Linked DNA regions of Notamacropus eugenii. The protein of the gene in region 1 purifies or fractionates together with the protein of each later gene. This does not show direct contact. Links are inferred from orthologs where the notes say so. Each region holds a gene or a part of one and is shown on either strand. Other genes may lie near its edges.

Region 1 (6,948 bases):
AGAAAGAGAAGTTGGAGCCAGATCATGAAAGGTTTTCAGTGCCAGATAGGAGTTTATATTTTATTCTCCAGTCAATTGGGAGTCCCTGAAGATTCTTGAGGAGAGTCGGTCAGACTTGTGCTTTAGGAATATTAACTTGGAAACTACATAGAGCATGAAAAAAGGCATAAATGAAAAGAATGAAAAAAAAAAGAGTACTTATCATGTGCCAAGCATTAGGGGAACAAAGACAAAAGTGAAGACAATTCCTACCTTCAAGGAGCTCACATTCTAATTGAGGACTGGTGGTCAGAGATATTTTGCATAGGAACATTACAGGGATTGTGAACAGTTATAAATAGATTAGCCTAACCTTTATAAAACAATGGCAACATTGCTTTGATTATGGTTCTAAAACTGGACAACAGAATTGGAGGGAAAGGTGGCTAAGAAGGAGCTGGTCAGAGGATAAAATAAAGTACGGCCAGAGATATCCTGATATAGTGGGCCACATGTGAGGTACTCAGGATGGTGGGAGCACTAGTGCTAACAGGGTCAAGTCTTCCCTGTCACAGGAGTAAACCAACTGGGTCTCAAAGTGGCTGGATAGATAGGAGAAAACTTGAGACTGGGAGACCAGTCAGGAGACCATTTTAATATTCAGGGAAGAGGAAATGAGGGTGAAACACAAAACACTCACAAGCATGCACTGACAGAATTCAATAATTCAGCTTATAGCTATTATTATGCTCTCTTGAGAGATCAAATCAGTTGGGATTCCATAATGTAAATTCATAATGGACCCAATGAGCATGGTTGTATGCTAGCAGTATTAGGCAGCTCTGTTCTGGGGCAAAATGGACAAAGGATATGAACAGGCAGTTTTCAGAGGAAGAAATTAAAGCTATTTATAGTCATATGAAAAAATGCTCTAAGTCACTATTGATTAGAGAGATGAAAATCAAAACAATATCACACCTACCAGGTTGGCTAATATGATAAATCAGGAAGATGGCAAATGTTAGAGAAGATGTGGGAGAGTTGAAACACTAATTCATTGTTGGTGGAGCTGTAAGCTAATCCAACCATTCTGGAGAGTAATTTGGAACTATGCCCAAAGGGCTACAAAAATGTGCATACTCTTTGACCCAGCAATATCACTTCTAGGGCTGTATTACAAAGAGATAATGAAAATGGGAAAGTGTCCCATGTGTACAAAAATATTTATAGCAGCTCTCTTTGTTGTGGCCAAGAACTTGAAATCAAGGGAATGCCCATCACCTGGGAAATGGCTGAACAAGTTGAGGTATATGAATGCAATGGAAATACTATTGTGCTATAAAAAAATGACAAACAGTTGAACTTCAGAAAAACCTGGAAAGACTTATATGAACCGTTGCTGAGTGAAATGAACAGAACCAGGAGAACATTATACATAGTAACAGAAACAGCATGCGACGACCGTTTCTGATAGACTTCGCCCTTCACAGCAATGCAAGGACCTAGAACATTCCCAAAGGTCTCTTGATGCAAAATGCCATCTATATCCAGAGAAAGAACTATGGAATCAGAATGCAGAATGAAGTAGACTATTTTCTCTTGTGTTTTGTTTTGTTTGGTTTTTCTCACGGTTTCTCCCGCTTGTTTAATTCTTCTATGCAACATGACTAATGTGAAAATGTGTTTAATAAGAATGTATATGTAGAACCCATATAAGATTGCATGCCATCTTGGGGAGGGAGAGGAAGAAAACTGAAAACTTATGGAAGTGATTGTTAAACTGAAAACAAATTAATTTAAAAAAAAGAAAAAATAGTATGCATTGAAAACCCCTCAAATTGGTTCCCCTGCCTTTGACTTGTACATGCTAGTGCACATCTAAGTCAAACTTCTAATTTTGTAGTCAAGCAACCAGGAAGAGAAATCAGACCCAGAGCTTTTAATTCCCTAAACCAATCAGTACCTTTTGAGGAAAAACTAGCATAATTTGAATGGAGTGTTGTAAGATTTTGCTTCCACCAACACATATAAGTTCATGGTCTTCCCTGAAGGTTGCTCCTTGGATATACTGGTTCCCTCAAATGCTAGTACTCTCTCCTATTATACTTGCCACTCTCTGAGGTACAATATTTCCTTTGTGGGGAATATTCATACATACATATATACACGTATATATGTAAATATATGTAAGTTTACACAACACACATACACACATATGAAAATAAAAATATACATGTGTATGTATTTTTTTCTCGTCCTTATAAAGCTCAGAAATTAAATGGGAAGGCAGTACACAAGGTAATTAATATTTATTCTTTTAATCATTTTTCAATCATCCTGACAAGTACCACCAGAGCCTTCAAAGGCCTTTGCTGGGGGCTACTTCACTGCCACCTCAATTCATGCTCCACTAGAATGACTCCACTCTAATGCCTGCTCTCTTGATTGGTGAGGAGTTCCAATTGTGCTGCTCAATGCCCTCAGAGCTTAACACTCACTGGACAGCTCCTCCTCCCCTTGTAAGGCCTTGCCTGTGTTTTCTTTCTCTTCCCTGCTCCCCTTAATGTTGTGATTTTCCCATCAGAATGTGAGTGCCTTAAAAGCAGGGACAGGCTTCTTTTTCTCCCTTGTATTTGTATAACCAGTATTTAGCATGTTGCCTGGTACATAATAAGCTTAATAAGTGCCTTATCTATCTGCTATGAGATTTACAAAGACAAATAAGATGCAGTTTGTGCCATCCAGGAACTTACTCCATCAAGCAAGCTAAGATAAGTGAGGCAGCATGGTGTAAAAAGAGCAGTGAGGGTGGGCAAAGCTAGCTTTTACTAGCTATGTAATCTTAAATAAATCACTTCACTTCTCTGGGTGTCATTTTTCTTACCCATCAAATCAGGATAAACCAAGTTTGTAAGCATATAATGAGATAGGAGGCAGTTAGGTGGCCCAGTGGAAATGATGGGGAACAAGTTCTGGGAACCCCCAGAGTTACATCTTCCCCACTCAATCCGGTGTTGGCCTGAGGTCACAAGCCTTTCATGATCTGCTTGTCCAAGCCTCTGGCTGCTCCCCAGCCTTGACCTCTGGATTACCCCGGCCTACTTTCTACTCTAGACCTCCTCACTGCCTCCAGCTGTTTCCCACCCTTGATCACAATCAAACTCTCTTGGTTCTGACCTCCAGTCACCCCAATCCCACCAAGATCCTCCTCCAGACCCTCCCTAATCCCCTCCTCCCATCACCCCAGACTACTAGACCACCCCCAGACTTCTCCCACAGTCTTTCCGTATATAAGATCCTTCTTGTCTCCATGAAGGTGCTCAGATTCTCTCTGGCCCCTTGTCTATACAAGCTTCACAAATGGTGAGGCTTCTTAAGAGTCAACCCAGCAGGGCGGATCTTTAAAATAAATTGTTTCTTCAGAATAAGAGCCTGAGTCCAACTCATTCTGGCAGGACCCTGGGTGCACTTATCTTGGGGTCCCAAACACCCTAAACCTCAACATAGGGTTCCCTGACCTCAACAGAAACAGGAAGACCCAAGGTCAAGTGTGGCCTCGGACCCTGGGCAAGTCACATAACCTCTTTCTGCCTTCAGTCCGGTCTCTTTGCCATGGGCAGGATGGTCCAGCAGTCACAGGAGCGGGGCATGGCTGAACAAGGGAACAAGGAGATCTCACAGGTAGAGGGGTTTCTGCAAGAAGGGATGACCGGGATGGGGTCCCTGGCAGCTGCACACAGCAGGGGTTTCACAGATGCTTCTCCTTCAGAGGCGTTCCCACGAGGCCCGTAAAGAGGACAACGGGTGGGTGAGATGTCAATTTCTCACCCCCCCCACCCCTCCTCCGCGTCAGCCGCACGCGACGATCTCTGGGAAACCAAGGCCGCGCACGTGCTCCCAGGCAAAATTCTCCCCCAAAGTGGCGGAAGCGGAACGTCCGTTAGGCGGCATAAATGCGGGCTGGCAGTCTGTCCGGCGCGCCAGGGAATGAGGCCCGCGGCGCCCAAGCCTTGGCATCTCCAAAAGTAAACAGCGACGCGCCACCGCGCCGAAGTTCCACCTTGGCGTCTCTTCTTAACCGCCCCCCTCAAACCACGTGGTACAGAGCCTGGCTCATCTTCGCGGTCCCCTCCCCTCGCGGTTTGAAGACGCTTGCCTTTAGCGCCGAACCTTTCCCCTCTCGTGGTCGCTACCACTGGCTTCCGCCCTAGAGGGGGGACACGGACCAGCCCAAGCATGTCCGGGAGGAAAGTCGAGAGCCTATTCTCGAAGCCAGGGAGGCTGCGTCCAAGACACAAATACGACTTTGCCACGCAGAGTCCGACCGGAGCTGGTCACGAGTGGGGAAAGGCAGCGAAGTGTCCCGGAGCACCCGCTCCTCCCTGCTCGTGCGGCGACGATGGTTTGATCCAGACGGGGACACCGCCTCCTCAGAGGCCGCCATTTTGTTTGGCCGGGGAAAGGATCGGGGTCGTGGGGGAGGGGTCGTAGACTCAGCTCACCTGACTGGCGGAGGAGCAGCTGCGGGTCCCGGGAGGGTCTTTCTCCCGGGCCGGGGGCGAGGAATCATGTATATAAAACAGGTGAGTCCGGTGCCGCGCCGTCTCAGAGGATTTAAGACAGCCTCCGTTTCCCGCCTCCCCTACCCCCCCCGCCCCCCCCCCCCCCCCCCCCAGCGCTTCGGAGCCCGCTCCCATCCCCCGCGCGGCCGCGGTGGGAGGAGAGGGGAGGCGTCGTTCCCTCTGCCTCCCGCACCTTCGGCCCTGGTCCTTCCCCAAGGTCCTAGGCCGCCCTAAGGGTCCCGGCGGCGGGAGGGGGAGGGGAGAGGGCCGCGGAGGCGGGCGGGGGGCGGGGGGTGGAGCGGGCCCTTGCTCCTCGGCAGACAGACCTGCCCCCGGGGGCGCGGAGGGGCGCGCGTGGGGGGCGTCTGCCCTGCAGGCCGCACTTGACTTTGCCTGTTCCTAACCGTAATAACGAGAGGCGCGGTGCTGCGCGGCCTCCTCCCATCCTCCTCTCCCCCTCCCCTGTGGTGGCTCTAAATGGAGGCTGGTGAAGGTTGTCCGAGCTGCGCCCCAGGCCTGCCCCGTGCTTGGTACGGCCCTGGGTGGAAAACCCAAGTGTCCCCCGCCCCCCTTTATTCGGGTATTCTTTAGGCCTGTAATTCTCTTCTAACTCATCCCTTCCTCCTGGCCTTTCTGGCGCCCAAGCCCCAAACAATCCCCCTTGATTCTGGTGCCTCACCTCTGTGGGTTTTGTCCAGTTCATTCTGTATGTGCCTTGTTAGTAGGTGGTTTTCACGTAGTCTCTCTCACACACACACCTTGTCACATAGTAGGTGCTTAAATAAATCCTTTTTGAAATACTCTCAATCACTATTGATTAGAGAGATGCAAATCAGAACCACTTGGAAGTACCACATCACACCTATCAGACTGGCTAACGTGACAGAACAGGAAGATGACAAATGCTGGAGAAGATGTGGGAGAGTTGGAACACTAATTCATTGTTGGTGGAGCTGTGAGCTGATCCAACCATTCTGGAGAGCAATGTGGAGCTATGCCCACAGAGCTACAAAAATGTGCATATCCTTTGACGCAGCAATATCGCCTCTAGGGCTATGTCCCAAAGAGATCATAAAAATGGGAACAGGTCCCACATGTACAAAAATATTTATAGCAGCTCTTTTTGTGGTGGCCAAGAACTGAAAATTGAGGGGATGCTTATCAATTGGGGAATGGCTGAATAAGTAGTTGTGGTAGGGATGTAATGGAATACTATTGTGCTGTAAGACATGATGAGCAGGTAGACTTCAGAGAGGCCTGGAAGGACCTATATGAACTGATGCTGAGTGAAAAGAGCAGAACCAGGAGAACTTTGTACACAGTATGAGGAATTTTTCTGGTAGATTTAGTCCTTCACAGGACAAGGACCTAAAATATTATCAATGGGCTCTTGAGGCAAAATGCCTTCCACATCCAGAGAAAGAACTATGGAATTGGATTGCAGAATGAAGCAGACCATTTCCTCTTGTATTATGTTTTGTTTTGGTGGTTTCTCACATTCATTTTAATTCTATGCAGTATGACTAAGATGGAAATGTATTTAATAGGAATGTATGCATAGAACCTATATAAGGTTGCATGCTGACTCAGGGATGGAGGGGAAAAAAATCTAAGATATATGAAAGTGATTGTAGAAAACTGAAAACAAATTAATGAAAATAAAATAAAGTTAGAAGCAACTTCATTAAAACAAAGGAAATCCTTTTTGGCTGACATAGCCAGAGCTCTACTTAAGGAAGATATTCTGGATAGAGAAAAACACTCTGACCTACCTATTCTTCAGTAGGGAGGAGAGATAATGAAACGTGAATTGCTGTGTTATGTGTTCCTTTTTAAAAACTTTGTTTTTTATATATTTTAATATTTGTATTATGTATTTAATATTTTATATTATTTAACTTTTTTAATGGACCAAAATCCTTCTCTCACCTTCCCCATTGTAAAAGAAAGAAAAATGAGACCTTTGATGGAAAAAAAATTCCCAAAATGACTGTCCAGAAAATGCTTCATTCTTTATTCTAAGTTTATCATCTTTCTATCAGATAGCATTTTTCATTATGAATATTCTGGAATCATGTTTGGTCCTTGCATTAATCAGAATCCTTAAGACTTTCAAAATTGTCTTTACAGTGTTACTGTATGTTTTTTTCTGGCTCTGTTGATTTCACTCTTGATCAGCATCAGTTCATACATGTCTTTACAGCTTACTCTGAAAATGTCTTTGGTCACTTTTTACATCACTGTTGTAGATGTTCCACAGAACCTCATCCTGTGCTTCCTCTTCTCTCCCTATGTACTTCACTGGGTGATCTCATCAGCTCCCATGGATTTAGTTATCTTTGTTGATAAGTCTCAAATCTACCTCTTCTGCCCTTACCTCTCTGCTGAAATCTGGAACTAGTTGTCC
Region 2 (7,061 bases), on another chromosome or scaffold:
GCCTTCCTTCTAAAATAATCTCCAATGTATGCTGAATATATATTGTTTGTACATGGTTGTTTGCATATTGTCTCTCCCGTTAAACTAAGCTACTTCAGAGAATAGCCTGAGTTTTTTGCCTTTATTTGTATCCTAAACACTCAGCATAGTCCTAGCACAAAGCAGGAGTTTAATATATGCTTGTTAACTAACTCTTTTATTAAAAGAAACACTCCTCTGGGAGCATCCTATGGCACATTAATAGAGAAAACAGAATATTGGAAGCTGGAAAGAGCCTCAGGAGCCATCTGGTCCAGATCCTCCATTTTAACAAGTGAGTCCCAGAGAAATAAATGATTTGCCCAAGACCACATAGGTAAGAAGTGGCAGTGCTAGGATTGGAACCCAGGACCTCTGACTCCAAATCCAACTCCTTCCAATTCACCTTGCCACCAAGTTAATATTCTAAGAAATTCAGAAAGTTCTGGCGGTTTTTTTAATATTTTATAACATGTCAATAGCTTTTGCCTCATGGACATCACCATCCATCTCAACCCTTTCAGGAGCTAAGACGAGAAACACAAAAACATGGGACACAACATCTGTTATTTTAAAATATGTTGTTGATAGTAGGAAATTCTAATGGCATTCTTGGCAGTGGCCTCAGATGTCATGGTCAACAGAGTCTCAAAGATTAAGAAAGAACCACTAGCAAGTTTTCAAGGGATGGTCCTAGAAAGGCTCAGAAAGACTTCTCAAGTTTAAAATAAAATGAGCAGCTTATATGGATGGAAGGGGAAAAGTGATTTCAAGTCAGAGAACTCTAGAGGAGTCTTGGCTCTGGCCCTTGCTAGCTATGTGACAAGTCACCTAACCTTTCTAGGCCTCCGGTTCCTGTCCTGTAAAATGACAGCGCCTGGACCAAATTGGTTTTGAGTCCCTTCCAGCTTATTAGTACATTAGCCAATAAACAATTTTTAAACATCTAAGATGTTCCAAGTACTATACTAAGGACACAAAGAAAAGCCAAAAACAGTCCCTATGATCAGCCACAATCCTGTGATCTTACTCAAAAGTCATAAAAAAAAAAAAGTGACGACAGTTCACAAATTATCCGCATCCATATAAACTATTTCCGGCCTCGCTTTTCTCACTCGCAAAATAAGAGGGTTAGATTACAAGATCATTAAGCTATGATCCTATGAATTGTCCCTAGTTAGCCGGGGAGCAAAAAGTACTTTGAAACCAAAAAAAGTCTAGCAAGATGATAAGATGTCTCTGGAGTGTCCCACAAGCTGGTTTGCCTTCCCGATGACTGTATGACAAAGGTTGTCTGTCACTGCTTTGTTGCTGAGTGTAGGAGAGATACAGCCAACCCCCCCCCCCCCTCCCCAATAGGACTCCCGCCCGCTGCAGCAAGAGGGAGACCTGCTGGATGACATATGAGCTCCAAAGGGTGTGGGTAAAAATAGCCAGTCTTCAAAAAAACATGATAAACGCCACACAGCTGAGTGACTTGGGAAATGCTTTCTGACTCCTCAAAGGGGGACTCAGTTGTTTTTGGAAGGTTTTGTTTTCTTTATATTTCACACACACACACAAAAACCATGGAAATCTGAAAGCCACCAGCCAACCACTCATACTTGGCTCTGCCAACTGTAATCTACCCTTCACTTCCTCCTCTAGCCACTGAGGCCAAGATTTGGGCTAAAGTTTTTCAAATTTGGGCTGGTATGTTTCAAGCCCCAAACTTCACGTTGGGGGGGAAGGGGAGAAGGAAGTTTAGTAAAAGTAATCACGATGCACTCGAACCTTAGAACTACTTGTGCCAAGGCACTGTTTTTTCCTGTCATTCAGAAAGGAAGCAAGGGGAGGGGGGTGGAGGGGAACCACCAAAATCACGGAAGAATTCAGAACTCTGAAGGGCTGGTCCAGAGACTAGGAATCCCTAAACAGAATCGCCAGTCCCAGAAAAAGAAGGTGCTGCTTGTGTGTGTCCGGGTGCTATCCACTTCCTACAGCCCTGGGGGCCGGGGGCAGACTGTGCACTTGGGAGGGTTCATCGGGTTGGGGCCGAATTGGGAGGTGGGTGAGGGGGGCCCCAAACTCCAGCCTGGAAAGCCAACTGCAGGAAGGGCGCTAGAGTTGCTGGATCGGAAGGAGAGCTCCCGGCAGCAGCTCCCTGGCTCCCGCAGCCCAAGCTTGGGGACTTGGAGGGGCGGGTGCTCAGTTCCAAAGCTCCCCAAAGTGGATGCGCGCGGTGGGTGCACTGTGCACCATCACCAAGTGTGATCGGGGCCGGAGCGGGAGGAGGGGCGCCCCGCTGCCTGGCTCCCAGCGAGGGCTGGCTCTCTCGGGCAGAGCCCCCCACCTCTCACCCCGCGTCCACCTCCCCCCACCGCCCAGCCCGCGCCTGGCCAGCACTCACCGGAGAGTCGTAGGAGAAGGCGCACTCCGCCTTGTAGACGCGATCGCCGGACCTGGGGACGCGGATGGTGGGCATGTAAGGGACCAGTAGCTCCCCGAGGTCTCCTGCAGCCATCTTCCCGGGGCCAGGGCCAGGACCCGGGCCGCTGCCGCCGCCGGGGCCGCCGCCGGGGCTGCCGAACAGGGCGGCCCGCTGCATGCTTCCGCGCGCGCGGGAGGGCCGGAGGGAGGGCGGGCGCGGGGGCCGGGCGCGGGAGGAGGACGACGAGGACGAGGAGGCGGTGGCCGCGGTGGCACCGGCACGGGAGCGGGAGGAGGCGGAGGCAGGGCAGCGGGGCTGCGGGGCCCGGGCGGCCGAGCAGACGGGGGCAGGCGGACGGTGCGAGGCGGCCAGAGCCCGGGCGGGGCGGGGCGCGGGAGAGCAGGGAGGGGGGACCAGGCTATTTTTAATCCAATGGCGAATCGCATCACCAGCTGCAGCGGCCGCGGCGGCAGCGGCAGGAGGGGCAGGGATGGGGAGGGAAGGGGAGAGGGGGAGGAGGGGAGGAGAAAGGAGGGGAGGAGAGGGGAGGGGGCGCATCTGCTCCCCGAGCCTGGAGGAGAGGGGCGGGGGCGGAAGACAGGGGCCGCCAGGGAGGGTCAGTCCGGGAAAGGACAGGGAGCCCAAGGAGAGAAAGGTGGTGGGGAAGGAGCCGGAGAAGGAAGAGGCCACGAGGGTGGGGGCTCTCAATCCGGCCCCTTCCTCGTATGCCGGGATTGGCCTGTGAGGACTCATAGTCTAGTCTAGCCCTTTTCCTAGAGACCAAGACTGGAAGAGACTTAAGAGGCCAATTGGTCCCATTTCCCCTCCTCTCCCTCCTTTCACAGAAGAGGGAAATAAGGCCTAGAGAAGGGAAAGTGACAGAAGCAGAGCCCGGAGCTGGCAGGGACCTCAGAGGTCAGCTCGTCCACCCCCTCATTCTACAGAAGAGACAACTCCACTCTCTAAAACTCCACAGAAGAGCATCTAAATACGAGGGGAAAGGAGGTGCCCTGAGAACTTTGCGGGACTTTGACTGAAAAATAAATGAGGGTCAATTGAGAGGTAGCGTGAAGGAACCCTGGATCTAGGCCTCTAAGGACCAGAGTTGAATCCTGGTTCTGTTACTGATTAGTTGAGTGACCATCGACAAGTCATTTCCCCTCTCTCGATCTAAGAGTCCTCTATCCAAAAAGGAGGCCTGCGATCTGGGATGAGATCACTAGTGATGCCTTCTAAAAGGGGGAGATTTGGGACAGAGCATCTGGAAAGACACAACCCTGGGGTTGGGGGAGGGGGCAGCTACCCCTATTCCTATTTCCCTCATTTTACAGAGGGGAATATTCAGTCTCAGAGCTGCAGTGACTTCTCAATCGAGGCTACCTCATACATGACACACACTGTAGGGCTCACTCACACCGACGCTAGTTTAGGGCCCCGGAAGTGTGGGCTTTGCTATTCCCAGAGTTTTAAGGGTAACTCTATGGGTTGCTATTGTAGTATAGATTATGGGGGGGGAGGGGTGGCAGAGAGGTCACCTTAATTAGCAAGTAGAGTCTGGTCTGGTCTTCAGTAAAGATAATAGCACAGCAAGGACAGTAGTTATAAGCATTCCCTCCAATCACCAGGGGCTTGCTCTCCCACAAACACACCCAGATTCCAGGAAAGGGAAATATGGGCAGAACTTAAAGTGGGTGGTGATGAGCCATAGGTAACTAAGGCCACTTACAACTCCAGAATCTCAGGATTTTCTTTTTCTTGCCCAGAAAGATTTCTTCGAGTTGCTCCACAGTTATTCGGCTTTGGATGGCTCTCTGAAGAGTCATTTTCTTACAGAGTACAGCATCTCCAATGGACCAGCAGCCCAGGTGGGCTGCTTCTCTTTGAGTGCCCTGTCTCACCTGGAAGGGTCAGTCTGCTGTTGGGCTGAGTCAGTCAGGGCACTTGGTGGATGTTCAGGCTCTTCACAAGGATCCTCTGAGTTGGGCCAGATGTTGTCAACGGGTTAAGTCAGGATGCAGGCATCTCTTTTTGACTGGGGGTCCTACAAAACTCTGTCAGCTAGGATGATAACTCTTACTTTTGCAATGGCAAATGAATGCCTAGGTTCAATCAGTTTCATTTCCCATACTACCAATTCTATTTCTAATCCTAATTCCACAGAGCCAAGATGGTAGTGCAGGGGAAAGAAGTGCAATTTAGCTCTCCCTTGAAACTCCTCTGCAAAGATCTAGAAAATGAACCAAAATCCTAATAGGAAAATACAAGAAAAGATCTCAGTGAATCATTTTTCCAGTACAAATCAAGAGAGAGATCTATGAACACTGGGGATGGAGTATAGTTAGGAACTGCTGCACCAAGTATTCCAACTCAGGGACTAAAAGAAGACCAAGGTTGTATACAGAGAAAGAAAAGGTCTTAGAGCCATCCAGAACTGCCTGACCTTGTGAAACCTTCAGGAACAAGTACTTTTCATTGGCTACTCTGTTCTTCACTGCCCAGTTTCAGACCACAGATCCAAGGAGAACTGAAGAGGGGACCTGTACCTAGGGATGGTGGTCCAAGTCAAGGAGTCATCATGGGCCATAAGCTAAAGATGGAGTGAGGTGCAAATTCAGAACCAAGCAGTAACTGTGTGACTGACCACAGGAGAGGAGCAGCATGCTCCAGCCCAGTCTGAATCCTGCAGTCAAATAACCAGGGAGGGAAACCCAGACCAAAGGGAAGCCTACAGTTCTGTCACTGAACCAATAAAATCTTTCAGCGGACTGAGTTCAGCAGCAGTCCCCTGGAGCTCCACCCAGGGACAAGTCCATAGATATGTTGCTCAGGCCAAAACCAATATTAGGAGCTTGCAGAGCTCAAACCAGAAGGGAAGTACGTGATCAGACTTGGATCAGACCACTGTGGGAGCACTAAAAGCTTATAGGTGTCCAGCCTGAACTGCCCCTGAGATTCTAGAATAACACAACATTCAAAAGCTCAATTCAGATACTACCTCCAGAAGTACACAGAACCTGGCCCTAACAAAGTCAGGAAGTATGTTGCAAGAATGAGCAAAATAAAAAAAAGAATTTCATCATAAAGATTTGTTATGGTGACAAGGATCCTCAAGACACAAACCCAGAAGAAGAGAATGACTCCAAAACAAGAAAACATTTCAAGAAAAACACAGCTTGGGCACAAGGCTAACTAGAATATCTAGTAGAGATGAAATAAGAGTTGCTTTTAAAAAAAATAAATTTTTTAATAAATGAAATGAGAGCTTTAGAGGAAAAATTAGAAAAGAAATGAAAGAATTAATTGGTCGCTTCCTGAAATAAACCTCAGATTGAAAACTCCCAGGAACAGGAGGGATAAAATGCAGAGCTTCCAGATTTAAAAAAAATACCACGAGTAATTAGAAAGAAAGAATTCAAGGACTGAGGAGCAACAGTCAGGATCACATACAATTTAGCAGCCACCATTATAAAGGAATGGAAAGTCTGGAATATGATATCCAGGAGGAAAAAAAAATAGACACAATCAAGAATAATGTACCCAACAAAACTGATCTTTAATAAAATAAAGGACTTTTAAGCATTTCAGATGAAAAGACTAAAGCTGTGTAGATACTGAAGTTCAAACACGGGAGTTAATAAAATATAAAAAGGTAGATATAATTAAAGAATCATAAAGCATTAAACAAGGACAAACTGCTTACATTCTAATATGGGAAGATGATACTTGTGTTCCGTCAAAGTCTTATCATCAGGAGTCATAAAGGGAATCTGATCAGTCAGATATCTCGAGAGTGGTTTTGTTATGCTTTGATAGAAAGGGAAGAGAAGAGAAATGCATTCGGGAGGAGGGAAAGAGAGAGGATAGGAGAAGTTATTTTACATAATCTGAGTGTGCAAGTACAAGTCTATACAAAGAGGAAAGGTGGGAGCAGACAACCCTTAAACCTCACTCTCATCTGAACTAATCAAAGGAGGAAAAGCATACACACATAGAGATACGGTCAGCAATATGTTTCATTCAACAGGGAAATAGAAGGGAAAGAGGAGAAGAGAGAGGAAGGGGGAAAAAATAGAATAGATTAAAGAAGGGATCAGTCCTAAACAAAAAATTCAAATTAAAGAGGATCTGAAAAGGGGGTTTGAAAGAAAATATAAGAATTTGGAATTGAGCTCTGGGTGAAGGAAAGGGGGGCAAGGAAGCAGAAGCAAATTGTACCAAATCTAGAAACCTATGCTGAGCACACTTCTTTCTCACAACCCTCTTCTTCTTTATAAAGAGGGAGTAGGAAATAAAGAGATGGAAAAGTATAAGAGAATAGGATAGAGGAAAATACATAATGATCATAACTTTATTATGATCATTAGGTTGGAAAATCTGACCAAAATAAGAAAAAGACAAATGCTGGAGGAGCTGTGAAAGAACAGCTCTCTGTAAGCAGAGATGAGAACTGGCTCAGCTATTCTGGAAGGTAATTTGGAACTATGTCCAAAATGTTACTAAACTGTGCAAGCCTTTTGGCACAGGGATAACACTACTAGGTCTATATTCCAAAGAGATCAAAGAAAGAAGAAAAGGACCCATATGTACAAAAATATTTATAGTAGCTTTCAGGGATTAGCAAAGAACTGAAAAC
Region 3 (7,627 bases), on another chromosome or scaffold:
TACAACATGCTCCCCTTTTAGGTAAAGCAAGTATGGCTATATCTGATAATTGCATTTATAACTAAGGGTATCAAGAAAAGCTTCCAACAGGAGATGGCAAAGGAATTGAGCTATGATGGGGATTTTAAAGCTTTTACTTTCTAGTTCTAAAAAGAGCAAATAAAATTGCACATTCTTTAATGAAATTCATATTTAATTTCCAACTTTAAGATGCCCCTTAACATATTTACCATATCACCAAAAATTCTCTTAACTTTTTTACTGTTACAAATTTTGCCAAGGCACAAAACCCAAAAATGTCATACCATACTAAGTAACTCAGATATTAAAAATTATTAACTGCTTAAGTTTTAACCCTAATTTGAAGTATTTCTTGATTCTAGAATCTGGTTTTATTATAAATTGATTAATATGACTACGCAATAGCCACAACAAAATAACAACAAAAAACCCCTCAACCTGCTATTAAATAAATTTGAGGTGTTTACTGTCAGGTGAAACTTTTCTCAAGTTTGCCCCTTTCCCAATATATCACTGAGCTACCTTTCTCTCAGAGGATCTTAAAAAATCTGGAGAGCATAGCCTTGTCTTTGTTTACATCTAAATACTTCTGCAGTTAAATGATTTGTTGGAGGCTAGTTTTCTAACAGATGGGGGCTGGGGGAAGAGGAATGAACTGTATACTGAGGAGCTCTGAGGGAATTGCTTTCAAATTTGGGGGGAAAAAATCTGAGAAAGAGAAATTTAATCATTCACTTGATATGAAAACAAAGTTTTTTCCTCAGTATTTCAGGGACAAGCTAACAACTAATCCGTGATTCTGCTTATAACTCAGGAATCACACACAGAAAACCAACATGAAAGAAGACTGCTTTTTCAACTCTTTCTAACCCCCGAGCACACTTCTCTGAAGCGCCGTGAAACAAACAGCAGGGCTGGTGCGTCGCTCTCTGATGATGAAAACCAACCCAGCACAACCACTTTTCCTCCAGTCCTCTGCTGTGAACTGGGCACGTCTCAGACCCCCAAGCGAAACAGCTGTTCAGTTCAAGTCATAAAGCCAGCCCGAGGATTTCTGCGGTAAGCGCTTTGGGGGGGTGCGTGTGTGTGCGTGTGTGCGCGTGTGTCTGTGTTCAAGAGCTGCTTTCTCAGAATGGGCAGCGCTGCTCCCTCCCTCCCTCCCTCCCCTGCTCCTCCCCCGCCCCCTCCCCCGCCCCCTCCCCCGCCCCCACCCCCACCCCCAGCAGGCCTGAGGCCCTGTTGCAAACAGTGTCGAACAGGAGCAGGCAGCACAAAGACAGGAATGGGAGATTAGTGGGAGGGAGGGAGGCCGGGATTGGGGCTCAGCAGGAGCTTCAGGCTTTTTAAAATTCAAACTGCTCCCTGACCAATACAAATCACGGACACGCTACTGACTACTACACGGATTTATGGCATTAAAAACATGCCTGGGACGTGACAGCTATATTAACTTGACCCTTTTTAACATTGATCCGAACGTTGGCAGACACTATGGTAGAGTTCGACGCAAGCCAGACCCTAAACTCCAGAATAATCCCCAGGAAAGTTACTTATTGGACAGTGACGATGGAAATTTAATAAAGCTGCAAGAAAAAAATCTTTTTGGGCCAGTGTGACATCAGTGAACAAACTTAAGAGAAGTGCTGAGCAACGTTGCTCCTTAAAGACTTGAACATTCAAAAACAAACAGACACGACACAAAAGTACCCGAACAGCCTTGCCCAGGTAAGCCCTGCTCTCCATGCCACTTCCACGAGTCAAGTTTCTTTAATTTACTTCACAAACTTGCCTTTCCAGTTCCATCATACACCACCACCTAGCCATCCCCTGCACAGAACCTCCAGTTGGTTCAGAACGGCTCCTCTCCTCGAGCCACTTCGGACCCCTCCGACCCACTACGGTGACACCTCTCATTACCCAGGCAAACATCATGGGCACACACAGCCAATGACAGTCCCGAGACCTCCAAAAGATCTCCCCTGACACCAGAGGGACGGGACACCCAGGGGGACGCCTGTCCTTCCGAGCGCTTCTCCTCCGTCCCCCCTCTCCCACCGCCCCGCTCCCAGGCACAGCGGGGCCCCTCCGAGGCTCCCTCCGAGCCCCAGGGCCGGGGTGTACCTGTCAACAACTTCCCCCGCCTCCGAGAGCCGCGTTCGGCTCCTCACGGAGCGCACTACTGTTTATGTCACTCGGGTTTCCGTCTCCCAGCCGTGAGCGAGGACCGAATGCCTTTAAAAGGGGAAACGAGTCTCGGTTAACTTTTGCACGCCCAAACAAGTTTGAAAAAAGGCCAACGCCGCGTCCCGGGCTCGTTCCTGGGCATTTCACATCTGCCTCGCTCTAACTGAAACTACTTCCTCCCGGCCCAGGGTCACTGGGGGAAGGAGGGGGTTGTTTGTCTCGCGGAGACCTTTCCCACCGCTCGCCCCGGGAAAGTTGTAAATATAGAGCGGATCGGGGCGCCCTGGCCGCTCCGGGTATTGTTTCCGCCTCCTCGTCTTCCTACCGCTTCTCCCTCGGCTGAGGCCTGTCACTGAGAAGCGATCGCTCCGCTCTGACCGGAGCCTCTCCTAATCCCCGAGCTCAAGTAGATTCCGCTGGCCCGCGGCCTGCGCTCTCCGCCGGGCCTACGCCTCCCCGGCCGCCCGGCAGGAACCGAATCTCCTCCGCAAAAGTCGGCGGGGAAAGACCTCCAACCGCCGCCGGCCGAGGCGCCTGCTCCCGGGGCGGACAACTCCGCGCTGGCTCCGCCGAGGAGACCCGGGGCTGCCGGGGACGGGAGCGGGAGGGGGAGGAGAGGAGCCCGGGTCCTGGCCCCGCCGCCGCCGCGGCCGCCGAAAGAAAGGGAAGGAAGGAATTTACCTGGGCGAATCGGCGTCTGAATCGGTGCGGAGGCCGAGGCCGAGGCGGCTGTGGGGAGCCTATAATCCGGGCCGGGAGGGGGGGCGGCTGAGGCTCCTCTTCCGTCTCCTCCTCAGTGCAGTGAACATGTAGAGCCAGGGGGAGACCAGCCGAGAAGACAAATCGCTGCTTCTTCTTCCTCCTCCTCCTCCTTCTCCCACATAGAAACACTTACAAACACCCGACCGGGGCCCCAGCTACCGAGGGGGCATCGCAGCCGGCTCGGGAACCAATCCTCCTCTCGGCGGGGGCGTCCCTGCCTGCGGCTCGGCGGTGTCGGGCGAGTCGGTACCGAAGGAGGGAGGGGGGGGAGGGCGGGGGGGGGAAGGAGCCCTGTGTGTGTGTGTGTGTCTCTCGCTCGGTCTCTCCCTCTCAGAACAAAATGCCGACCGGAAGTGCAGCTGCAGGAATGACTCCCTCCACCGGCGCCAAACACCAACAACCTCCCCCTCTCCCCCACTCCACTTCCGCCACCGCCGCCGCCCGCCCGCCAGCCCGCTGCCGCCGCCGCCGCCGCTACTACTACTACTCCAGTGCCCCCGGCCGCCGCCAGTCTCCCTCGTCGCCGCTCGCGCCGCCGCCGCCGACAGCCGGGGCCGACAGCCGGGGCCGACAGCCGGGGCCTGCGCCGCTGGAGCCTGGGCCGGCGGCCTCGGCGGCGGCGGCCGCGCCGACCGCTCCTCCTCCTCTCTCAGCAGCCTCTGCCTCGCTCCCTCCTCTTCCTTCTCCTCCTTCTCCCGCCGTCGCCGCCGCCGCCGCTGCTCCTGCTGCCGCTGCCCTGGGTGGGTGTGGATTCTGCCCTCTATCGTAGCTGTGGCCCAGGACCGGGCCGGTTACTGCCGCCCTCCTTCTGGTCCTTCTTTTCCTAGGGGAAAATGGGAAGACCTCAGCTTCGGGCGTCGTCGGGCTTTCAGCGGAGGAGACCCTCGGAAGGTTTTGGGGTGGCTTCCCTCCCCATCCCCCACCCCTCCCCGCTCTCTCACGCACACACACACACACACTCACACTCACACTCACACACACACACACACTTTTCCCAGGAGGGGGCTTCAAGGCCCCGGACACTGAAGGCTGAAGAGAAGAGGACGGGTCCTCCCCGGGGTTAGGGGTCGCCGCTCGGGGGGGCCACGTTTCGGACCCCCGCGATTCCATTGGACTCTCGGGGTGACCTCGCGACCTGGTGGATGTGCGGCTCTTTCCCGCTGACCGAGCTGCACGCATCCGTGTGCACACCTGCACACCCGCACACGGCCTAGCCCGGAGCGAGGACGCTCCCGCGTGGATTCGAACGCCCTCCTTGGCTTTGTCGCCTCTCCCGTGGTCCGCCGTCGAGAGGCCGGGGCTTGGCTTGGTTTCCCTCCTGGGGAGATGGGCTTGTGGGCAGCGCTGTGCCGGGGAAGTCAGGGCACGTTCCGATGCCAGGCTCTCCTTTTCTCCTGCTGGACCTAGCTGGACCAGTTAGCTCCATGTGCTTGCAGGTATTTGGCGGCCCCGTGTGTACCCCCCGCTCAGGGCTAGATGGAGCTGTGGCGCCCCGGGGGTGAGGGGCTGCTCGGGGCCGGCCTCGCCACGGTCTGCGGGGTGATGGGTGGGGGGCGCCGCGGGTCTGGAGCTCCCCCGACCCGTCCTAGACCCGAGGGCTGACCTGGCTGGTGAGCTCAGGCTGTCCTTGTTCCCAGCTCTTTAGCAGCCCCCTTCCCTTCCCTTCCCTTCCCTTCCCTTCCCTTCCCTTCCCTTCCCTTCCCTTCCCTTCCCCTCCCTTCCCTCCCCTCCGCGGCCCTTCCTCCCCTCTCCTCCCGCTTCCCTCAGAGATACTTGTTACAGGCTGCTCACTTTATTTGTTCGGAGGAAGCAGGACAGCTGTTGAAGGATTAATTTAAAGTTGGGCTCAATTTTAGCTGAGTTTAGACCTTGACGTGTTTTATTCCATTTTAATAAATTTGGTAAAATTATAAACAGGTTCCATTATTTGATTTAAATAGTAATATCTGTAATATTTTGTTAAAAGTGAATGGCGTTCTTAACAAATCAGTTACCAGGTGAATTAGAAATGCAGTCCGAGAACCCCGAGACTGAGTTGGTCTCTCTTAGACAATGCTCCTATTCAATATTCATTCAATATTCACCGGAGAGAGCTTTATGGAGAAGTTCTGAAAAGGACGGAAAATCTAGGAAGAAAAGCTCTTTAAGTCCTGCATCAAGATACCAGACGAACCGAAGACACTCACCAGAAACAAGTTAAGACGAGTTTGTGGTGACGACTTGTGCTTGAGGGCCCTATGGAGGACGGTTCGTGAGCTCGGGCAGTTCTATCGCTTGTCTTAGGGGAAGCTTTTCTCTTCCTTAATGACAGACTCCTTGCCTCATTTTGACTAGTCACCAGAGTAACCTAAAGAAGATGTCTATTCTAGAGAAGTCACAATTGTTCACTGTACTGGGGGGTGGGAGGGAATTAAAAAGACCTACTGATAATCTTAAAGGGGCTGTGTATGCCTAATCTTGGTCCACATCTAAGAAAAGCTTACTATTCTCTTATTCTCTAGGACAATTAAAATGCTAATCCACTTTACTTTTACTATTTAATTCTGGGGAAAAAATAGTGAAAGCTGAAGCCTGAATTAATCTGAAGATTTATACAACTTTTTAGTTCACTTTTTTCAGGGCTATTTAAATCACCTCTTTAGGGCTATTTGATCACCTCTAATAAACTTAGGTGCGTCATTTAAATTAATAACAATGACTTGAAAGGTATTAGAGATAGAAATGAAATTAAAATACCTGTTTTCTAGTTGCTTGTACAAAGCTGCTTAAAAATACCTGCACCTAAACCTCAAGCTGTTTAATTTATAGTGTATATATGCCAAATAATTAATATCCATAAATTATATTTTCTGCATAAGGTTCATGACATAAAAAAGATTATAACCTCACAAATAAGATAAAATGGTTTACAGATATTCTTCCAATTAAGGTCTTACCTACTAGTCTTATACAAGTTTTAAGTCACATGCAAACATCATATATTTTCACTTAATTTCAGAATGCCATCATTTAAGTCTGCTTTGGAGGATCATTATGCTGCTTCTATATCCTCTCCTGAATTTTAGCAAGTAAACTAGTAATTCAACATATTTGGGTAATTTAAGTTATACAGTCCTTTGCTTATGATATATAAAATGCCAACTTAGGTCTTCACATTAGAGTACTCAAATGGATCTTTACTCTCATTGATATATGTGCCTTCCAACTACTATAGATTGCAACCCAGTCCAAACCTGTCCATCCTATGTGACTCTTGCATGTCCTACTCTAAGTTCACCACAGGGGGTCCACTTAACACCCTGGAGGGCCTTTGGTGAGGATAAGATTGAACCACAACTTGTCTATCAGTCATTTCTCCCTCTTGCCACATGAACAGCCCATCTTTTCAATGATCAATGATAATATCTTTAACATTGCTTGTCTATAACTCTAGTTTGTTATGCAACTTGCTCACAGTTAACACGTACCTCTCCATTGCCCTTTATTTATCCTCCATTTCACTTCTTTAGTATGCTCTGATTTGTAGCCATACAAATGTTGGAAGAATGAGGATATTTTTTAAAAAACTGGCCTTTTGTTTTGGGGAAAATCTTGAGGTCATCAAAATAATTTTTCAGTTTCAAAGGCCATCGTGCCCACTCTTCTGTTCACAGTTCTGTGCCCATTTGCAGGATCTGCCCTATCTATCTCGGTCACTACAAAAGCACCATGGGCTGTCCATTAAACTTCATATCATGGTCTGGGCAATACACATTACTTATTACATTATAGTATGGTATAAAATTGAAAAATACTTATTAATATTTTCACTTCATGGCGTATATAGCATAGGAATAATGTATCCCTAACTTTATAGTTAGTGGGTACTGGTATTAAATGTTTTCAATCATTGTATTGCCAAAATGTTAAATTGTATCATGAATCAGAGATTCAGAGTTAGAAGGGTCCTCAGAGGCCATCTAGTCCAAATTATGTCAGACTTAATCTAAAACGTTCCTGGCAAATGGTCAGTCAGCCTTCATTTGAAGGCTCCTGTGATGTAAACTGCCTTGAAAAGCAGGAAGTTACCTTCTAGTTTTAGACCGTTCTGTTACTTATGTACTCAAACACTAGGTTCCTACTATATGATAGAAGCTGGGGCAGTTAGAAATTTTACATAGGACATAGTCCCAGTCAGAAATTTCACATAGATCCAGTCATTAGGAAGCTTACCCTGCTTTTCCACCCTCCCCACCCCAAAGTATAATTCTTAAAAGAGAGACCATGGATTTGAGATTAAATCCTAATGTTTATGATACTGATTAGAAATTACTATAATTTACAAAAATTAAATGTAAGTGGCAAGCATTAGGTACTATCACTATTTCACCTGAATACACAGTAATGTGTTTTTTTCTTTCCCAATTGTGTTCATTTTTAAGTAGAGATATTTACTCTTATTGTGTGGTTTTGAATTTGGTTATTCTATTTACATCCACTTTGTGTCAGATACTTGAGTATGTTTTCTAGAATACTATTGCAGAATCATAGAAATCTTTAAAATGCAGACCAGAAATTCTTCCTCTAGTACACCACCTAGTGTTTTAATAGTTTATATGTAAATATCCAAACTAGGGTTCTACAAGGAAACTACTTCATGACCCAAGAATTTCAGTGTCGG
Region 4 (7,888 bases), on another chromosome or scaffold:
CCTTGGCCCACTCACCGTGCCTGAGGTGTGGGGGACAGCCATGGGGGGATTTCCTGCTCAGGGACCCGGGGAATTTCCACCAACTCTTCAGCTGAAAGGGAGACACGTAGAGGGGATGGGGTGGGATGAATTCCTTCCCTTCAGCTACTTCATTAAATGATTTCCTCCCTCCTGACTGTGTCCTGCTCCGACCCTACCCTTGCCAGAGGGCTGACCCTCTGGGACATGAGGTACTTTGGGCTTGAGGGGCTCCCAGGGTGGGTGGATTGTGGCCTTTTCCTCAGACAAAATACCTTCCTCCTCTGCAGCCATCAGCAGGTCTAGGTCACGATGGGAGATTTCTGGTAGGTCCAGCTCGTCCTGTGGAGATGAATGCATTTCTTCCGTGGGCAAAATAGGCACATTTGCAGGGAAGGGAGAGTCAAGTAGACACCAATTGGGACTAGTTCCAAGCTTGAACTAGAAATAGCCGGTTCATGGGCGGGAGGACGTGCTTGTGGAGTTCAAGACCTGTCTCCTCTCAAGTTGAGGGAAGGGAGATGATTGCCCTCCATTTCTAGGCCCTCATTTCCAGAATCCTGCTCACCTCAATGTGCAGCACGCGGATTGGCTCTGCCTCCCGAAGAGTGATGGTTTCAGGAGGCAGGATGGTGATGGGGGATATTGCTGAGAGAAGGAGATGATGTCAGTACCACTCCTCTTGACCAGGGTTTCAAGCATAGTCCCACAGCCCTACGTCCCCTCCCAGAAAGATGGTTTTCTGGCCACCTAACTGGCCTCCTGAGAGCCAGGAAACTGCTCACCTGGCTTCCTGGGTTCAGGGTAGACTGGAGGAGGGCTCTCTTTAGGAATCATCTCAGGGGTGGGAGCTTCCAAGAGGTGTCGAACCTTTGGACAAAGCCCAAAGCATACGGTTTAGTCATGGGCTTCCTGTTGTACTTAATGGAAAATGCTAAAGCCCCCTGACATGCAGCACCTTTTCTCCCAATTCCAACCCCTATGTACATTGCCAAATAACTGTTGTTATGGTGGGTTTCTATCCCACACAGAATACTGCTAGCTACGTGTTGTGTGGGGAGTTTAGGCAGGGTCACAGTACTATCTTACTCGTAGATAGGGGAAGACCTATACTTGAGCTATCTCAGTAAGGACCAAGTGAGTAGCTAGCTTCCCACCACAGGCAGCTAGTTTGACATAGCACCAACACTGAGGAGGCTAGTTTGTGCTATAGCTAGCAGTCTCATACATGCCTGTGGGATATCCAAGGGACTAGGAAGGTGAGGGCCAATGGCCATCACTCCAAAGAAAGGGTCCAGAACATCTTCCAGGGCCTCCATTGTGGTCAGAGGGTCGGGCAGTAGGAGACCAAATCTGTGTTGAGTAGTTAGACAAAGAGGGAAGGGATGGGCCACGGTAAGACCAAAATTGCAGTCAGGAGGAGGCATAGAGATTGAAGGGCCTGGGGTCAAGAGTTAAGTTGGGAAACGTTCCACATCCCTGGCCCTGTAATGGTAATACCTAATTTGGAGTTAGGTACTCACGCATCTGGTTCCACCATGTCAATACGGATCTGCTGCTGGGCTCGGTGTAGGCGCTCTAGGATGTGCTGGATATCCTCTGTGGGATGGGTAGGGGCATAGAAAGTGAGAAGGCAGAAGGCAAACTGCCTCACCTCCTAAGCCCGCTTGTCTCTTCCCATGGCACTGTTCAGCTTTCTCAGCCCAGCCAGCCAGCCCTGAGCCCTCTGAGGCGACCTGCCTCCTCATCTCTCTGAGTTCGTCATCTTTCCCACCCTCCCTCGCCACCTTACCCACAAGGTACTGGCATTGGCGGAAATAGACACGGATAACACCGAACTGGAGCTGGGCGGAGAGATAAAGGGAGAAGCGAGGCCTGGGGATGCCTGGCAGAGATGGCTGTACTTGCACCAGAATATACTGCAGGATCTTCTCGCTGTGGGGGGCAACAGCCTTACCTGGTGAATCTCCAGAGGACTGCCGACCTCCCTGCCTCGCCCCCCACCACTCTGCTCTTGGTCCCAGCAGGTTCCCAAACAATAAACCTCATTTTTCCTCCCCCACCTTGGTCCCCAGGCAGTGACGGTTCTTATCTCTGGAATCTACTTTCCTCTTACCCCAGCCCCTGAATCGCAGGGGCTCTTACCATGTCTCCACCACGTCCACCTTCAGGTACTCGCGTTTCACTAGCCTCGTGCCACCTGTTGCTGCCAGCCTACGAGCAGACAAGAGCAGAAGTTATCAGTCGCTCCAAGAGCACATGCACACGAGCCAACCTAGTGGGCAAGGCTCGGCCAGGAGAGGCTGCGGGAGGAGGGGCCCTGTACCGCTTACCAAGCTCGCAGAGTACCAACCATGGAAGGGCACCTTTCCAGGTTTAGTCCAGCTTCCTCCCTTTACAGACAAGGACATTTTGGTCTAAAGAGTCAGTGCCTTGCCCAGGTCACACTGGGCTAGAGGCAGAGAAAGAATCTTGGTCCCGGACTCTTCAGTCTCTCTGTCCCACCCTCACCCCTGTGCCAGCCTCGTCCCCCCCCAGCCCCCTTCACCCTCTCACCAGATAGTGGCAAAGCAGCCAGTGTGGCGCTGAAGCACGTTCGGGTAATAGAACATCTCGCCCGGGTCTTCTGCCCCCCCTTTCTGAGCGGGCCCCCCAAACCTGCCAGGGGGCTCCTGAGAGCGATGAGCTACGAAGGCTCTCCCCACTAATTCGATAAGGACTCGGGCATGCAAAGGACAAGGGGGGCTGTAAGGGGCTCAGGGGAGTTATCGGGACAGAGCTAGAGGACGAGGGCTGCCGCCAGGTGCACGGGCTACCCACGGACACAGCAACGTAGCTGTGGGGAGGACCGGGAGACGAGCGGGGCCGGGCAGGCTGGAGCCGGGCTTGGGTGTCCGGGAGCGTGGGCACACACGCAGCGAGACGCCCCGTCCTGCCAGGCCGCTGGATGGATGGATGGATGGATGGATGGATGGATGGATGCATGCCGGCCGCAGGGGCCCCGCCCTCCCTCTCTGGCCTCTCCTGATTGGATGGCGGCCCTCCCGCCAAGGGCCAATCAGGCAAAGATGTCGAGAGGCAGCGCTCGCTTCTCCCGGAGCTTCTAGACCTGCCCCTCCTCCTCTCAGCGGCCGGGCACCCGCAGCCCGGGACAGCGTGGTGGCCAATCAGAAACGCTCCTCGGGGGGGCCGGATTAAGCGGGGCGACCAATCAGCGTCTGCTCTTGCCTTCCTCCTTCCCCACCAACGCCTAGTGACAGTAGTCTGGGGAAGAGTCCTGCCTGACCAATAAGCGCCTCGGGGAACTGTTCCCTGGTAACAAATCCTTCTCAGCCAATAGGGAAGCGAAGGCCGATGGGATGCATCCGTGGGTGGCCCCTGGGACCCGGCTTCGTGCCCTTCCAGTCACCCCACGGCAGGACTCATTTCAGGATTACTGAGACCCCCGCGCCGTGTTCAGTCCCCAAGCCATCCACCCAAACGTGTCATGGAAGGAGCCAACTCTGTCAGGCTCCAGGGATTCAACGTTCTGGCCCGTCCTCAGCAGTGGGCAAGGCTGGCCCCCCCTCAGAGACCAAATCTGCAAGGTTCTGAGACCCTGCGGAGTCCAGCATGATGCAGGCCCCAGGGTGGGGCTCTAACTCATCCCATGCACGATGAGTCCTGACCTTTGCGTAATCCTTCGGTTGGTAACTTTCTGAAACTGACGTAGAAATGAAACAAAGTAACAGTACAGAGCCAGATGAGGAGCCTTGTAACTGACCTAGACACGGGGATGAGCTCAAGGTCAGTGGGACAGGGCGAAGGAGAGAAAGAAGCCCGCGTGGAATTTTAACCCATTCCTGGTGTGTCAGTTCATGTCGTGTCTGTACTCCCGTCTTCCAGGGCCTCTGTGACTTCATCCACGTGGGTATTCCAGGGATGTAGATCAAACCCAACTTTTGCCTCCTGTGTAATTTATGCCCATATCCTTCCATAATTCTGACCCAGAGCCCACTCAACATACTGGGCTCCTTCCTCAGGCTCTCTTGACATGGAGAGGATACCGATGGAACGTGTCATCTGTGCCTCCCTCTCAACACATGATCACTTTATCTTTTTCTTCTCCCCTCTTATTTTAATTGATTTATTTTTACATTACTTTCATTTGCAAACACACTCCTCCTCCCTCCATAGAATGCCAGCCCTTGTCACAAAGAATAGGAGACAGAAAGTTGTTCAGCATTACTAACCAACATGACAACCAGCTCCGATAGAATGTTTCACACAAAGAAAGGAAAGGCATGTTTCTTCACTCCTTCACTGGAAGCCCATCTTTTTTATTTGATCTCCAGCCTATTGGACATATTGAACTGGTTGTTCCATAGATAGCTTACACTCAACATTATCTTTTCCTCCAAACTCTTCCTTTTTCCTGACTTCTTTATTACTGCTGAGGGCATTACCATCCTCCCAGTCACCCAGGTTCAGAATCTAGGTGCTCCCCATGACTCCTCACTCTTACCCAAGACTGGGTTATTTTTATCACCATAACATCTCTTCCCTTCTCTCCTCAGACGATGTCATCACCCCAGTGCACGTCCTCAGCACCCAGTGCAGGAGACATGGACTATTGCAATAGTCTGCTGGTTGGCCTTACTGCCCCAAGGCTTTCCTCCACTGCCTTCCTAAAACGCAGTTCTGGCCATGTCACTCCTCCCCTCTCTTAGGAAATTCCAGTGGCTCCCCATCACCTCCAGGATCAAATGTAAAATCCTGTTTGATACGGAAAGCCCTTCCTCTCTTTCCAGTCTCCTTCCATATTATGCCCTCCAATAGTCTGTGATCCAGTGACCCTGGCCTCCTTGCAGAAGGTAGTTTATCTCCTGACTTGGGTCTTTTTCACTGGCTGTCATCCACATCTGGAATTCTTTTCATCTTTATCTTTTCCTCCTGCTTTCAACAGGAAGCCTTTCTTGATTCTCCTTAATTCTAATTAATTCTAATACCTTCCTTCTACTGATTATTAATTTGTCCTATGGATAGCTTCTTTATACACAGCTGTTTGCCTCCTGACTCCCCTGTTAGGCTGTAAAGCTCCTTTAGAGCCCAGGGAGGAACTGTCTCTTGCCTTTTTTTTTGATCCTTGGCAATAAGCACATAGTAGGGACTTAAATATATATTGACTAACTGACTTTTACAGAAGACCAGCACACCTATTTTTGTGGCTAGAACTTATCCCCTGACCTACCTCTCTGGGAACATGACCTGCCCACTTTGGTCTTTAGCGGCTTGTATGGACTGTGATGTGTACAGGGTCAGTCCCAAGGACCTCTGTGAATACAGAAATATGAGATGTGATTGGGGTGAGGGGAAGGGGTGACCCAGAAGAGAACCCTAGTAGATAAGAATATAAATCAAGGTTGGGGAACCTGCAGCCTCGAGGCTACATGCGGCCCTCTAAGTCCTCAAGTGTGGCCTTTTCACTGAATCCAAACTTCACAGAATAAATCCCCTTAATAAAAGGATTTTGTATATTAATACAATTTACAAATATATATTTATAAATATGTTTATATATTAATATAAAAATAACATATAAGAAAATCCTTAACAAAAATCCTGTGAAGTTTGTATTCAGTCAAAGGGCCACACTTGAGGACCCAGAGGACATGTGGCCTCAAGGCCGCAGATTCCCCACCCTTGGTTTAAATAAAGGGTTCTTAACTTTTCTGTGTGTATTATGGTAGTCCACTGAAGCCTATGGGTCTGTCTCTGAATGTTTTTAAATGCATAAAATAAAATACATAGGATTACAAAGGAACCCACTTCTATTGAAATACAATTATCAAAATATTTTAAAAGTTCCAAGTTGATTAAACACCTGATATCTATCCTCTATGGATTTCAGGTTAAGAACCCCAGGTTTTAAATGGCAAGATGCTTCCTCTCCTGACTCTCCATTGACCGTATCCTGCTTTTCCCTGATATATCAATCTCCTCTCAATAAACCAGATAGTTTCATTTTCAATAAAACTTTATTCAAAAACCTTGACAGTAGATCTAAAGTTATTTTTAGGGTTTGAAACTGAAAGGCAATGTGAGTTTGAGCTGCTAGGATTTCCCAGGGACTTCCCACCACCTTACCAAACCATCCAGGCATAGTGATACAACTCATAGAACACACCAACACCAACCACCAACCAGAAGGACATATAAGGAACAGTCAAAGGAAAGGAGGAGGAAGATGAGTGTAACAGATGCCAAGGGAACAGAACACTCCGCTTCTACAAGTCCAGTTTACAGCAGGTATCGAGCAAAGGCCTGCTCCATCTGTACCAGGAAGAACAGACATCAGTGAGTCTAACCTTCATTCCTTCTGGAAGAATCCCTCCTTATCCCAGAGACTCTACCCAATCCCAGATAGTGATACTACCTGGACTGTGATGAGATTCTTATGAGTATATCCAGGACCACAGTGCTCCTCCAAAAAATTTAGGGTCACCTGGAATTCAGGGGGTGGGGCCAGGCCCTTGCGGTATTGGGCTAGGCCTAATGGTAAGAGAGAAAGAAATTTGAGAGAGGAAGCAGTGGAGAGCAAGAGAGTGAGAATAGGATATGGGAGAGGAGTGAAGTGATGGAGGGAGGAAAGATAAGGAGAGAAAGAAAAAGGACAGAAAATAAGACACAATGAAAAGAGAAAAGGAGGGGGTGGGCAGGAATCAAAGAAAGGAAGACACACAGAAAGATGGCTAATGTGATCCCCTGGTCACCATGCCTCAGCCCAACCAGCCCAGAGTCTAACAGGATTGGGGAGTGAAGGGACACAGAGAAGCAGCAGTCACAGGTCCAGGAACTTGGGAAAGTGGGGCTAAGAATGACCACAGGACTGATAGCAGGGAGGAAGCAGGATTCTAAAAATTAGGACACTCCCAAGATGAGGGGGTAGTGGTCAGGGTCTTTAGAGGTAAGGCTGGGCTAGAGTAGAACAGTTCTCACCTTGGAAGAATTTGGCAGAATTAAAGACTTCCACACATATTTTGTCCTGTAGCAGATGGGGTCCAGGCCCGGACGGAGTGCAGGGACCAGTCCAGGAAATGGGAATGGTACAGAGGCGCTGCACAAAAAGACCTCGGGAATTGCTAGCTACCAAGATGCCACGGTCAAAGTGTTTCAGGAGGTTCTCTGTGGATAACTGGAGAGCTGGTTCAGAGAGTACACTGGCAGAAGGTAGCATCACCTGCTCTATGCTATTCTGGGTTCCTGAAGGTTTGGCTATGAGTCGGCAGTCAGGGCCATGTACCTCAGTCTTTCCAACCAAATGCCCACTGTAATGGAAGGTGAGCAAAAGGAAGCAATCTGGAGAGGGAAGGAAAATAAAATAAAGCACACTAGAGATGGATTCATACACTTAGGGAACTAAAATTTTTAAAGGTAACCTAGTCTAACCCCTGCATTTTATAGATAAGGAAGTCCAGAGAGGTTCAGTAAATTGACTGTTCATTCAAGAAACATTTATAAAATAACAGTAATATCCTCACAATTTTATAGAATTTTAAGGTTGAAAAAGTACTGTTATCCCCAAACACCTACCCTGTGTAGAATAGCCAAGCACTTTGGGGGAGAAAAAGAAGTTTGGCTAGGAGATATGCCTTGCCTTCACAGTCTCCTGGGGGATAAGACACAAATATCCATAGGGATAATACCCAGTTCTAGGTTAGAAGTGCATCAGAAAGATGCAAAACAAAGTGTTATGCAGTCATAAGGGGAAAAAGTCTTTCACCTACCAGTGAGGAGGAAAGACTTCTTTGAGGAGATGGCATTTGATTTGGGTTTTAATGAATAGACAAGACTTCAGCAGGTAAGGGAGAAAAGGGTTTGTGGATCAAGG

Evidence for each region.
Region 2: the proteins of SMC3 (region 1) and USP13 purify together in Homo sapiens (affinity purification with mass spectrometry; 4 studies listed by BioGRID and IntAct, with this or other methods). This does not show direct contact. The link is inferred for Notamacropus eugenii from reciprocal best matches to the Homo sapiens genes SMC3 and USP13.
Region 3: the proteins of SMC3 (region 1) and NIPBL purify together in Homo sapiens (affinity purification with western blotting; 4 studies listed by BioGRID, with this or other methods). This does not show direct contact. The link is inferred for Notamacropus eugenii from reciprocal best matches to the Homo sapiens genes SMC3 and NIPBL.
Region 4: the proteins of SMC3 (region 1) and REC8 purify together in Homo sapiens (affinity purification with mass spectrometry; 3 studies listed by BioGRID and IntAct, with this or other methods). This does not show direct contact. The link is inferred for Notamacropus eugenii from reciprocal best matches to the Homo sapiens genes SMC3 and REC8.

The regions. Positions count from the first base shown.
Region 1 is NC_092872.1:188,252,197-188,259,144, forward strand, and holds the start of SMC3 (structural maintenance of chromosomes protein 3), read left to right. Parts: upstream 1-3,930; 5' UTR 3,931-4,547; coding exon 4,548-4,562; intron 4,563-6,948. UniProt on the Homo sapiens protein: Central component of cohesin, a complex required for chromosome cohesion during the cell cycle. The cohesin complex may form a large proteinaceous ring within which sister chromatids can be trapped.
Region 2 is NC_092877.1:344,608,517-344,615,577, forward strand, and holds the start of USP13 (ubiquitin carboxyl-terminal hydrolase 13), read right to left. Parts: upstream 3,002-7,061; 5' UTR 2,987-3,001; coding exon 2,408-2,986; intron 1-2,407. UniProt on the Homo sapiens protein: Deubiquitinase that mediates deubiquitination of target proteins such as BECN1, MITF, SKP2 and USP10 and is involved in various processes such as autophagy, endoplasmic reticulum-associated degradation (ERAD), cell cycle progression or DNA damage response.
Region 3 is NC_092875.1:423,986,766-423,994,392, forward strand, and holds the start of NIPBL (nipped-B-like protein), read right to left. Parts: upstream 3,020-7,627; 5' UTR 2,887-3,019; intron 2,254-2,886; exon of another isoform or gene 2,143-2,253; intron 1-2,142. UniProt on the Homo sapiens protein: Plays an important role in the loading of the cohesin complex on to DNA. Forms a heterodimeric complex (also known as cohesin loading complex) with MAU2/SCC4 which mediates the loading of the cohesin complex onto chromatin.
Region 4 is NC_092878.1:9,117,616-9,125,503, forward strand, and holds the start of REC8 (meiotic recombination protein REC8 homolog), read right to left. Parts: upstream 3,003-7,888; 5' UTR 2,631-3,002; coding exon 2,575-2,630; intron 2,233-2,574; coding exon 2,164-2,232; intron 2,081-2,163; exon of another isoform or gene 1,954-2,080; coding exon 1,811-1,953; coding exon of another isoform or gene 1,712-1,810; intron 1,618-1,711; coding exon 1,542-1,617; intron 1,372-1,541; coding exon 1,251-1,371; intron 889-1,250; coding exon 804-888; intron 667-803; coding exon 587-666; intron 361-586; coding exon 294-360; coding exon of another isoform or gene 216-293; intron 92-215; coding exon 16-91; intron 1-15. Other genes in the region: IRF9 (interferon regulatory factor 9), read right to left, coding at 6,298-6,330, 6,434-6,549, 6,997-7,356. UniProt on the Homo sapiens protein: Required during meiosis for separation of sister chromatids and homologous chromosomes.